3 linked regions of the Nothobranchius furzeri genome follow. The protein of the gene in region 1 interacts with the protein of each later gene in a biochemical or structural test. Links are inferred from orthologs where the notes say so. Each region holds a gene or a part of one and is shown in the gene's direction. Other genes may lie near its edges.

Region 1 (3,184 bases):
ACTTTTTAAAAACGCCAGAAGCTGTCGGAGCGGACTTCTTACCGGACCTGGCCGGGGAACCCCTTGGGATTCCCCCGGCCGGAGGAGCTGGGGAGAGGTCTGGGACTCTCGACGCTTCTGCCCGCTCTGACGCCAGAAGCTGTCGGAGTGGACTTCTTACTGGACCTGGCCGGGGAACCCCTTGGGATTTACCCGGAGGAGCTGGCTCCGGCGGCTGGGGAGAGGGAAGTCTGGGACTTTCGACGCTACATGCCCCCGCAACTCGACTCCGGATACGCGGATGAAAATGGATGGATGGACAAATAACATAGATTTACATGCAAGTAGTTTAAATAGAGTGCTGTGCTGTTTGAATGTATAAGCTGAGCGCCAAGAGAAATCACTAGTTTGATTTTTTTCCGTGAATAAAATAAATATGTCAGGCAGGAGCATCTCAGGATCTGTCTGAGATCTGTCTCGGTGAGACAGATAATAGCAATCCAAAGTGCTTTTTATGTGTGATCTGACAATTGATCAACCATTGCTTAAAAATTAAATACAGCTTAGCCGGTTAATTGCTGTGATCATAAAACATGTAAACGGCAGCACGCAGAACTCACGAGGCAACGTTTTACGTGACGTTTACTTGTTGCTATGAGTAGTAAGACAGAAAAAGCCACGCCAAAATAAGTTTAGGAAGCCCACTAAGAATCGTAATAAAAGCATTTAAAATAAATACCATACACAGTTGAGGAAACGTTGGTTTAAGTACCTGATATGAAGTGGTCGCTGCATAAGCGAAAACCTTTACTCTCGGGATCCCACAGCTTCATTTTAGCCCGGTCACTAGTGCGTTTTATTACAATGATCCAACGTTTGCGGCGCTCCGGATCTTGGGGAATCCTGTAGATGGCTCATTCCTTATGTCGTCCGTGTCTGTTCTGCATCCTGGGGCACAACAGGAATCTACCATATTTCCCGTTTGATTGAGTTCTCTCTGACAATCACAAATAGTCCAGCTGCCGGCTTCTGCCTGCCAAATGGCGCCGTTTCGATTTGAACTGTTGCATGCCGGGAAACGTGACGTCAGCTCTATAGTCAGTCAGAAAAATTCAAGCTAACTGTAGAAAAAGAAGGAGGGGGAAAAATAAAGGATTAATCTTTAGTGTATTGGAGATAAATACCTGATGTGTTCAACCATACGCTACATCAGACTATTGTTTTAGCCTGTTGTATGATTAGCAAGGATTACAGATCGTGGATTCCTGACGGTTTTAGATGTTTCTCTGCTTGAATACTGCAGGTTTTCTTAAAACAGCTAGTATACAACCTGATGAAGGCTGAAGAGATAATTCAGCAGTTAGAATCAGGTGTGTCTGAGCAGCAATTCGTCAAAAACATTCGTTGTCCGTTAGCACTTCAAGGCTAATTGTGCGCGCAGTTTGAGCCCCTTGTAGCTGAAAGCCACGGCCCATACAGCAAAAGGGAGGGGAGCAGAGGTGGGAGCTGTAGTCGTTCAAATCTCCTCCTCATCATGCTACAGACCCCGGCTTTAACAATAACAAATATTATAGATACTGTAACATCATGAGGTACTGTTCACATTCAGGTTTACTATATCTGCAGACACACATCTGTAAAGAACATCACAGAGCTGGTCCATCAGGTTTCCATGGGGATGAAGTACCTGGAGGAGCATAACTTTGTGCACAGAGACCTTGCTGCTAGGAATGTCCTGCTGGTCACGCAACATTATGCAAAGATCAGTGACTTTGGACTCTCTAAAGCTGTGGCAGAGGAGCAAAACTACTACAAGGTAATTCAATCAGCTATCAGTCAGAACTCTGGAGCAGCTGATTTGATCGCCTAAGATTTCAAAATCGATCCCAAAATTACTAGATGGATGAATAAATAAATTGCAAGCCTGAGTATGATCAGTATAATACCCAGACCAGAAGCAGAACTCAGCTCTGCTCCAGTGTGAAGGACAGAAAGAGAATAAAACATCTGGCTTACAGACAGGTTATTTGAATCCCTTCTGGCTTTTGCAGTCATTTAGTATAAAATTATAAAATTACCTAAATGGTCATTCAGTTAGTGATGATGATGATGTGTGCCTCGTCCTTCAGGCTAAGACTCACGGGAAATGGCCAGTGAAATGGTACGCTCCAGAATGTATAAACTTCTTCAAATTTTCTACCAAAAGTGACGTGTGGAGCTTCGGAGTCCTCATGTGGGAGGCCTTTTCCTTTGGCCAAAAACCATACAAGGTACCACTAATCAGCCTGGACACACACACGCACGCACACATGCACACACACACACAAACACACACACACACACACACACACACACACACAAAATGCTCTGAAACTACAGTAATCAATCTCCTCCACGTACACCAGCAGAACATAACCTTGTTGAGGGTCATTAGGGTCAGGTTGGCTCTGATGATGGACCTCTTAGCTTTCTTTCACAGTGTGGAATCAGTGTTTATAACATTTATTACAGGTATGTTTAAACAGCACACAGACAGTACTGAGTGGAAGAATGCTTAATACCTGGGATATTCAGTCCTGGTCCTCCAGGGCCATTACTGCTTGTTTTCCATAGTTTTGCTGCTCTAAAACACTTGGTTTAAATCAGTGGGTGACTAACAGGATTCTGACAAACTTGAGGACCTGATGAAGAAGTGACTGAATCTTTGAATCAGGTGTTGGAACAGCTCAAACATCCAGTGGCCTATCAGGGCTGAGGACACGTGATATAACTGCTCTAAAGATTCCCTTTCAGTCGATTCACTCGGTACAATGAAGGTACTATGGGACATCACGCCCTCGTGTGGCCTGGCTGAAGACACATTTAATCACGCCTGTAAAGGCAAATGAGCCTTTACTGGGTGGTGGTCCCGCCCTCCACCTACAAGCCCCCAGTGTCACTGGCATTTTTCAGTTCTTATGCTCTTCACCTCGCTGATAACATGTGAGTACAAATAACTATTGTTAGCTATGCAATAGAAAAGTTAGCTTGACTGCTTGCTGGTGTTGATTCTGCTGCCTTCTGGTCAGCCTTCACCCACCTAGCGCTACCTTTTTGTGGCTGTTTTAGCTTTCTGCCTCCATGCTCCTTTGCCCCTGCCGCTCTGCTCTGTGTCTCGCCATAAGCACCGTGTTGGACTCAGCTAGGCGAAAGTCTGCTTTGAGTC
Region 2 (4,153 bases), on another chromosome or scaffold:
GTGTGTGTATGTGTGTGCTGTATGGCAGATGCATTTGCCTATTATGTAACGCTCTGCAGAGGCAGAAGGGAAGAGAAGTCAAACCTGCTCTAACTGTAAAACATGAGATTCTGACAGGAGTATAATGAGTGCAATAGCTGGCGTTAACCACGACAACACCTGCAATTGTGTGTGTGTGTGTGTGTGTGTGTGTGTGTGTGGCGCTCCAGAGAGCTATATATAATAGTGTTCTCCTCCATACAATTTATTTATCGTTTTACGTTGTTTAACCCAATATTTTCCACTAGAACTGTCTTCTTTAGCATTTCAAAACAAAAAGTGGGATAATTGGCAAGTTAAATGCAGGAAATCACGTAAATGATTCTTGTTTACATGCTTAAAAAAGGAATGGAAGAGTTTGTGTTTGCAGTTTAACCAAATGTGTGTGTGTGTGTGTGTGTGTGTGTGTGTGTGTGTGTGTGTGTGTGTGTGTGTGTGCGCGCCTTGTTTGTACTACATTTTGGGGACATGTCACGTTTAACCTGTAACGTGGGGACATTTGGCTGGTCCCCACTGTGTAAAAAGTCCTTCATACTTGCTTTTAGAGGTATTGTGTGAATTAAGTGTTATTTAGGGTTAAGGTTAAGAATACACCAGTAATGGTTATGGTTAGGGATAGGCCCCATACGGTCTCTAAAAAGCTAGGTCCCCACAAGTATAGAAATATAAACGTGTGTTTGTGGAACTTTTACTTTAAATGGACAGATCACTATTTATCACCAGTTTAACCTTCTTTAAATGCCATCTATGTTTGCTGTTGCAGTGGTTAATTAGATGAAAAGCAACACACACACACACACACACACACACACACACACACACACACGAGGGGGGGAAGGTCAAACTTCAAATAAGGAAGTGTTCTGTGACTCTGACCTTTGTGTGTTACATGCACACACCGGTACACACCTGGAAGTAAAGAACAAACAGCACTGACAGCAGACAGGTGGGCTGGCTGAGGAGACAACGTTTGCCTGTGATTTTTGTTAGACCAAGCGTGCTCTCGCTGGTGACGTCTCCAGGAACTTAAACTCTCTGTTTTGGACTCTGACCGTGATGGGATGGCTGCTCGCTGAGCAGAGTCACCAGACCTACATCTGCTGCTGCTGCTTCTGCTGCAGAGATCCGACACAGGAAACTTAGAGTGATGGAGCTGAAACCTTCTCTGCTCTCGCACACAACTTTTTGTTGTGGTCGTTATTAGAAGAAGAAAAACGGCATCTTCTCCATCTACTTGAGGAATTCCGGCCTGTTGGCTATTTTTGTTCTTGTGTTTGCTTTCACTATTTTGTGAAAGGACACGTAAAAAGGAAGGAAGGGGAGTGACAGAGAGAAAGAGAGAACAACGCAGGGGGTAAGACGCAGACGACTACAGTGTGAGCGTCTTCCTGAGTGACAGTTGTTGACTGGAGCAGCTGAGAGGAGTAAGTGTTTGCCTGTTTTTGTACTTGAGCTGTCAGATAGAGGAGGAGAGCTGAGGGCGGATGATTTTGACGGGATGGTGTCTGGTTAGTGTGCGAACGAACAAACACATGATTCATTTGAAGTCAGCACAAAGTGAGGAAGTAGTGCAACAACAAAGCGTTTTGTCTTCCATGAGATTAACAATCAACTAACAAGAGAAAATATCCTCGAACTTGTGCTTTTGAATCGGCACGTGTGGCGCAGGTTTAAGTGGCTCTTCATCGATAGCTCTTCATCTCTTTTGTCCCAGAAAACGTCGGGAGACGACATGGTTCGGTGAGTCAAGCCTCTGCCGAACACCACAACGCTGCGTTAGTCAACTCTGCTTGTGTTTTTTTTTACATTTTTTTGTGCTTTTTGCAAAACATTATGACAACTTCTCTGTTTCCATTCCTCCTTCTCTATCTTTCGCCAGCCGTTCGCTCATCCTGCTCTGTTCTTCTGTCATATGACCCCTAATGTGCTGCACGCTTTGTTTAAAAAAAGTGACAGAAGTAAAACATTTAATTCACTTTACCTATTGGTGCATCTTCAACCTTCTAGCTCTTTAACCCAGCGCTAATTTAGCTTCCAGACGTCACGACTTTGCTGCTTTTGCTGAATTTCACAACTAAATCATAACCTAGAAGCAAATTAAAATGCATGTTTTCATTTTGAAAGCTACTTTTCGTTATTTCTTTAAAACGCAACCACACGTGTGTCATGAAACTTAAGAATAAGTCGTTTTTAAACATTTAGAAGTCAATAATCTATAAAATTCAGATTAAATCCTTCGACATATTTGCAGGTAAGAAGAAATAATATAAAGTAATTTAAATTCTGGTTTATTTTTTTGGAACTGGTAGCTTTTAAACAACAATTAAGACATTTTACTTTAAATATGTTAATTTAATGTGCATGAAAATTGTTAGATTACACAGGTGAGGACGATCCGCTGCTTTATTATTATTATTATTATATTGCTATATTAGAGCTTTATTATTGACCTTTTTCATATCTCAGGGCTATATTTAGCATTAAAATGCAGTCTGATCTCATTATCTTAGCTGCTGAGAGATAAATGAAGGATATAATTATAGAAAACATCAGAATATTTATTTCCTGACAAATTCATAAATAACTGAGTCAAACTGAGCTTTAGTCAGAAAAAAATTAAGATTTTTGGGTCTAACAGCATCTCAAAACATCTAAAACGGAAATGCAGTAATCCAGCTCTTTCAACTTACTAAACACAATTCTCCCATTCATCCTAACGAGTGATCTAATCCTGCAGCGCTAATTTCATTTCTAACCTGAATTATTTGTGTTTTCTTGGTCCTGGCGCAGGTGGTTCCACAGAGACATCACTGGTCTGGAAGCCGAGGAGGTCCTGAAGTCTCGGGGCATCCCTGGCAGCTTTTTGGCTCGACCCAGCAAGAAAAATGTTGGTGATTTCTCCCTGTCGGTCAGGTAACAACCCAAAGACTTCTATAGAAGCTCCTATTTTATTGGAGAAAACTGGAGGACTTTATATTCTTCCCAAATTTATCTGCAGGCTAGAAATGGCACGATTATTACAAATCTGAAGGGTTTTGATGAGCGAGAGCAACTGAAATCATGGGTCAGCTGCCTCTGTCTGATTTTAATAAATGTTTAAGCTTCTTTTTAACGTTTGATGGACAGAAAGTGAAATGCTCAACAAGAACGCCACAGAGAGAAACGATCACAGACAAATCTGGTGTCTGTATATCTAACATCCTGAAACCTTTGCTCTTTAGACCTAACTGATACACTTGAGATTTTCCTGATCGTAAACCATGTTATACAGTATCGGAGCCTTTTATTATAAGAGGTTGATATTTAATGCTTTCTCCGTGCTACGGCCTTTATTTTTTTTTAGCTTTATTCAATAGCTGTTTATTTAAAAGAGGTCAGCTCGCAGAAATCTGTGTTGTGTCACTTTCAGACATAGAAACACTGGAAACTTATTTGCCGGACAAAAATGGGTCACACACTTATTAAGTGTTTGGTAGTCTGATTTGTGGTTTCTTCTGCTTCAGCATCTCAAAGTGCATCTCAGCAAAACATTAAACTGGTAAAAGCGGAATCCTTTGAAACTGCTGAATAGATGCAGATTGTTTAAAATGTTTCAGTTTTTCAAATATTCTGTAACAATTTACAAAATGGGTCTCTTTATTAACATCACTTAGTGCATTATTAAGTATTAATAAACAATTAAAGTAATAACTGCATAACCATATTATGTAATGCATTACTAAACAGACATCCCCGACCCTTTGTTCTAACCTTAAGGACAACTAATAGTTGACAAAAACATTAGTGTTAATAAAGGGACCCTTTGTATATTGATACTTGATAATGCACTATGTAACGTTAATAAAGAGACCCTTTGTTTATTGATGATTAATAATGCACTATGTAACAGTAATAAAGATACCCTTTGTTTATTGATGCTTATTAATGCACAAAGTAATGTTATAAAGGGACTCTTTGTTTATTGATGCCTAATATTGCAGTAAGTAACGTTAATAAAGGGACTCTGTTTATTGATGCTTAATAATGCACAAAGTAACATTATAAAGGGACCTTTTGTATATTGATGCCTAATATTGCAGTAAGTAACGTTAATAAAGGGACTCTTTGTTTATTG
Region 3 (4,266 bases), on another chromosome or scaffold:
AAATTACGAGACCGCTGCTTAAGGCCTCAAAGAAAAGTCAGTTAGCTAACTCGTCCGGGGCCCTGTCCGTGTGTACTCACTGGTTAATAGCTGCCCCTCTAGGGACGTGCCCGCAGGCCCCAGTGTTTCGTTCTTCTTGGATACACCGGTCCCTCCACCGCCAGTGCAAGGCGTCACCGCCGTGACGCCGAGGGAGTACCCCGCCGTGGCCAGCGGAACAGGGCTACCGCCGCCGTGCAGCGGCATGCTGCCCATGCACGGGTCTTCGTGCAGAAACTGACACTCATCCCCATAGAAGCAGGTTTTGTCTTTCGCATAGTATCGGCAAAACTTCACCTTGACATTGGGTATCCCGACACCCCCGAGCGGAGCAGCTGAAGGTGGGAGTCCACTGTTCATGGCACCACTGCTGCCGCCACTGCTGCCGGAAGGCACTCGAACATAGAGCCGCGGAGAGCTAAGTGCTAAGCCAGCTACTTTACTACTCTAAATAAATCACTTCAGCTCACGGATAACATTTAACATCCCATATTACTCGTATTATAAAGCTAAAATACATTTTGGTTTAAGAAAATATGCCCGCATGTGTGAAATCTTGGTGGTTGTTGTCACCGTCCATGCAGCTGCCTACGCTGTAGCGGAGCCTGTTGTTGTTTTCTGCTCTCAGCCAGGCTGATGAGTCGATAGCAGAGCAGCTAACAAGGATATGCTGCGTGGAGTGCAGCATCATTCACCTGCCGCAAACTCAACTCAAGAGCGCTGCTTCCCAATTTTAAACTTAAAGTGCAACTCCAAGTATTTCTGATGAAGTCACTAATAAATAAATGAGTAAATTAATAAATAAACTGAGACAGAAGGCAACATTAGTATTTTTTATTTAATCTTTATTCATTTATGAATAATGTTTTAGTGCTGTGTAATAATAAAAATTATATGATTTTAGCAATCGAAGTCTTTAATTTAATTAAGTTTTGATCCCTCTAGACCACACATTTAACACTGCAGGATCTGCAGTCGAGTGGCGGGCCCTAAACTTTGGGAATTTTGGAAACCACCGAGGTTTCACTCAGGACATGAACAAAGGAAAACAATTTCTTTAATTAAATGTTTTATTCTAAATACAATGTTTCACATATGCATGTTTTGAGACAAATTTTAAAAAGCATACATATACTTATAGCGATTATGCAAACATATTTATTTTCCTATTTCCTGCAAAAAAATACCTCTTCTTTTGCATGTCTGTATTTATCGCATGGCAACATATAATAATACATTTTGCCATCTCAAATTATTTCTATGGTGCTAATGTTTTGGTTGTTTTGAGCAAATAGGCGTGACTATTTCTAAGACTTCCTCTCTTTAAAAAGATCCCCGCACACTTAGTGCGCTGCAGTTTCACTGTTTGCGCTGAGAAACCAGGCACAGAGTGCAAGCATTATGGTGCGGGGAAACAGATGTGCACTAGCTGCAGGTACGTGAGTGTTTAAACACAGCTTTTCATGACGTTGAAAGCTGAAAATGCATTTTAAAAGTTAATCATTGGAAATTGTGACTGTAGAATCAGACTTTTTGAACATTAAAAAATATTCTCAATGTGTGCTCTTCACTTTTCTAATAATTTATGAGATTTTTGTGAAGACTATGTAAGATATCTGATTTAAAGTTGTATTCTACTGTGTTGAATTTAAGAAAAATGTAATGTTTAAATGTGAGGAATTACCATAACATCTAATCCAGATTAGGTAATTTGATTAAAACAATGTCATTATTAAAGATAAATCTGATTCATATTTTCAACCATTGCAGGATATTAATTAAAAATTTACTAATCTTTTTTTAATCTTAAAAACATCCTGTATAACAATGTAAAAAAGTAAATTCCTGACACTTTTGACCTGTTCTTACATTTAAATTAATTTCTAAATATCCTAAGTGACCATTTTTCTTGCCTAGAAAGCAAAGTAGGAACCCACACTGAGGAAATAAAAAAAATCTTCAGCACCAGGAGGATTAATGTAATGTAAAATCACAGTAAACACAAAAATAATAATACGTAATAATGCTTAACATTTTGATTAAATGTCTATTTTTGTTTTATTTTAATTCAGTATATATATATATATATATATATATATATATATATATATATATATATATATATATATATATATATATATATATACACGAAATAAAATAATTGTGTGGTGTTTTGTACCACTGGTAGTATTGCCTTAAACTGACAGGAAAAATCATAAAATGCTAAAAGCGTCTGAAATGTATGACAAGCAAATAAGTCATATAATGTGTGACACAGTAAAAGTTTCATATTTAAATGTTGAGATCTGATTTTATTTGTAACTTCATTGATTTTGTTTTTATGAAAAAGTCACACATGAATGTATTCCAATTTAATCTTTATTATATATTAAGATAAACTAGAGAATCCTGGTTAATGGTTAATTTCATGATTGCATTTATTTGTTATGAATATATAGAATGAAGAGCAATAATATAAGAATTTATTTACAGAAAATGTCATTATAAAAAGTAAACCATCTAAATATGATTTGTAACTTTAGTCTGAAAAATCTGTCATCATTAGTATCTGTTTGGGAAAAAAAAGAATAATGATATTAGTCGAGCGAGCCCTGGTGTAAAATGTATCTTTCTTCCATTTTTTTTTAGATTAAAATATGTTTAAAGTTTAAATCAAAGTGCATATTTTCTATTTTTCAAGCTGTTCTGCTGTGTGCTACTAAAGCGTTCTGCTCTAAGGTAAGAGCAAATTTAAAATGTGTTAGTCTGAAAGACTTTATTTTTGACTGAGAAATGCTAAAGTTCTGAACTACATTTCAGCTGCCATCACACGTTCATGAAGTTGGTTTTGCGCAACAAATGTGGTTTTTTGAAATTACTATAAACCATAACAGGCAAACCACAGAGCAGAGTGAGGCATGGATAAGGAAACAGGACCAGCTCAACTAAAATTTGTATGTTTCTTAAGTTGTCACTTTGTTAAGTATTGACATTAAAACAGATCAGTTCCTTTGTAAAAAGAAAACTGTTTAAAAAGCTAATAGCATCCACATTCATCCTTTTGATTTTGGCCCTACTCAGACTAGCAGTTAGCTCATCAATCCAAATCCAAATTCATCTTTATTTCTCCAAACTGAGGCCATTTAATGGTAATGATTGTTCATAACCTTTCCACAAAAACTCACTTCAACATAGAAGAGTCATCCCTTTTCTGCACCTTTATTAAAAAAATACCACCCAAGACCAAATTCTTTGTGTCTGTAAGTCCAGATAAAAACTCTCTGCATGAGTTTGTCAAACACATAAATACAGTTTTACCCTCTAACGCCACTCAGAGTGGGATGTTGTTCCTCTCAGGTGGACCACATCGTCCCAGCTGCTTCTCTGAATGCATCCAGTCCTGTCAGCATCAGGCTGTCTGTTGGTAAGAAACTCATGGTCCTCCTGTTGATTTAGCATTCAGGAGAAAGCAGAGCATGTCTCAGCTAGCAGAAGCTAACCATTAGCATTAGCAATTCCATCACATGGCAGAACTCCTCCAGGCTTGTGATATTTGTGGAGATAAAACATCAACGATGCAAAGCAAACCGAGTCAGTAGTAGAATCATGCTGCTGTTAACCAATCAGAGGCCAGATGTCCCAAGTATAAGAAAATAAGACATAAGATTTATTTATTTATTTATTTATAAATCCAGTTGTTTTCTGCTCACCTCTCTTCTTTTACTACAAGAGCTTTTTTGCCCACAGAGATCGACTCACAAGGCATTGGTTTATTCTAGAGAACATGGCTAACGTGTCAAAAAACAATTGAACTTGATCTTTAATAAAATTCTCTGATTTAAAACAATTGCTTTTACTGAATCATGTTGACCAATGATAGTATTTAGCTAACAGGCAAAAACATTATTTTTCTTTTTGTTTCTAGAACGTCCCACAAAGCCACGACTGTTACTGAAGTCTTTCTCTAGAGAAACCAGTTCTCCTTTTATCTCGTGCGTCGGCTCTCCAGGGACCAAGACTGAATGGTTTAAGTAAGATATCCTCCACTGAAGCATTACACACTCATGTTTACTTGGTTAGCAAAATCACTTCATCAAAACGACCTGAAACTGAGACAAATCAATAATGTTCTGTTTTAGGTTGACTGGGGATAAGGAGAAACTTCCTGGAGGGGATTTTTCAGCTTCTAAACTGTATAAAATAGGAGTGATGTGTTGTGCCACAAAC

Evidence for each region.
Region 2: of the proteins of syk (region 1) and ptpn6, one has a biochemical effect on the other in vitro, tested with the Homo sapiens proteins (2 studies listed by BioGRID). The link is inferred for Nothobranchius furzeri from reciprocal best matches to the Homo sapiens genes SYK and PTPN6.
Region 3: of the proteins of syk (region 1) and flt3, one has a biochemical effect on the other in vitro, tested with the Homo sapiens proteins (2 studies listed by IntAct, with this or other methods). The link is inferred for Nothobranchius furzeri from reciprocal best matches to the Homo sapiens genes SYK and FLT3.

Annotation. Positions count from the first base shown.
Region 1 is NC_091746.1:36,390,358-36,393,541, reverse strand, and holds the end of syk (tyrosine-protein kinase SYK), read left to right. Parts: intron 1-1,605; coding exon 1,606-1,795; intron 1,796-2,108; coding exon 2,109-2,537; 3' UTR 2,538-2,656; downstream 2,657-3,184. UniProt on the Homo sapiens protein: Non-receptor tyrosine kinase which mediates signal transduction downstream of a variety of transmembrane receptors including classical immunoreceptors like the B-cell receptor (BCR).
Region 2 is NC_091745.1:73,981,287-73,985,439, reverse strand, and holds the start of ptpn6 (tyrosine-protein phosphatase non-receptor type 6), read left to right. Parts: upstream 1-1,326; 5' UTR 1,327-1,463; intron 1,464-1,602; exon of another isoform or gene 1,603-1,707; 5' UTR 1,708-1,771; coding exon 1,772-1,779; intron 1,780-2,829; coding exon 2,830-2,952; intron 2,953-4,153. UniProt on the Homo sapiens protein: Tyrosine phosphatase enzyme that plays important roles in controlling immune signaling pathways and fundamental physiological processes such as hematopoiesis.
Region 3 is NC_091747.1:51,120,796-51,125,061, reverse strand, and holds the start of flt3 (receptor-type tyrosine-protein kinase FLT3), read left to right. Parts: upstream 1-1,375; 5' UTR 1,376-1,440; coding exon 1,441-1,474; intron 1,475-2,740; coding exon 2,741-2,778; intron 2,779-3,396; coding exon 3,397-3,463; intron 3,464-3,964; coding exon 3,965-4,070; intron 4,071-4,178; coding exon 4,179-4,266. Other genes in the region: PAN2-PAN3 deadenylation complex subunit PAN3, read right to left, coding at 81-399. UniProt on the Homo sapiens protein: Tyrosine-protein kinase that acts as a cell-surface receptor for the cytokine FLT3LG and regulates differentiation, proliferation and survival of hematopoietic progenitor cells and of dendritic cells.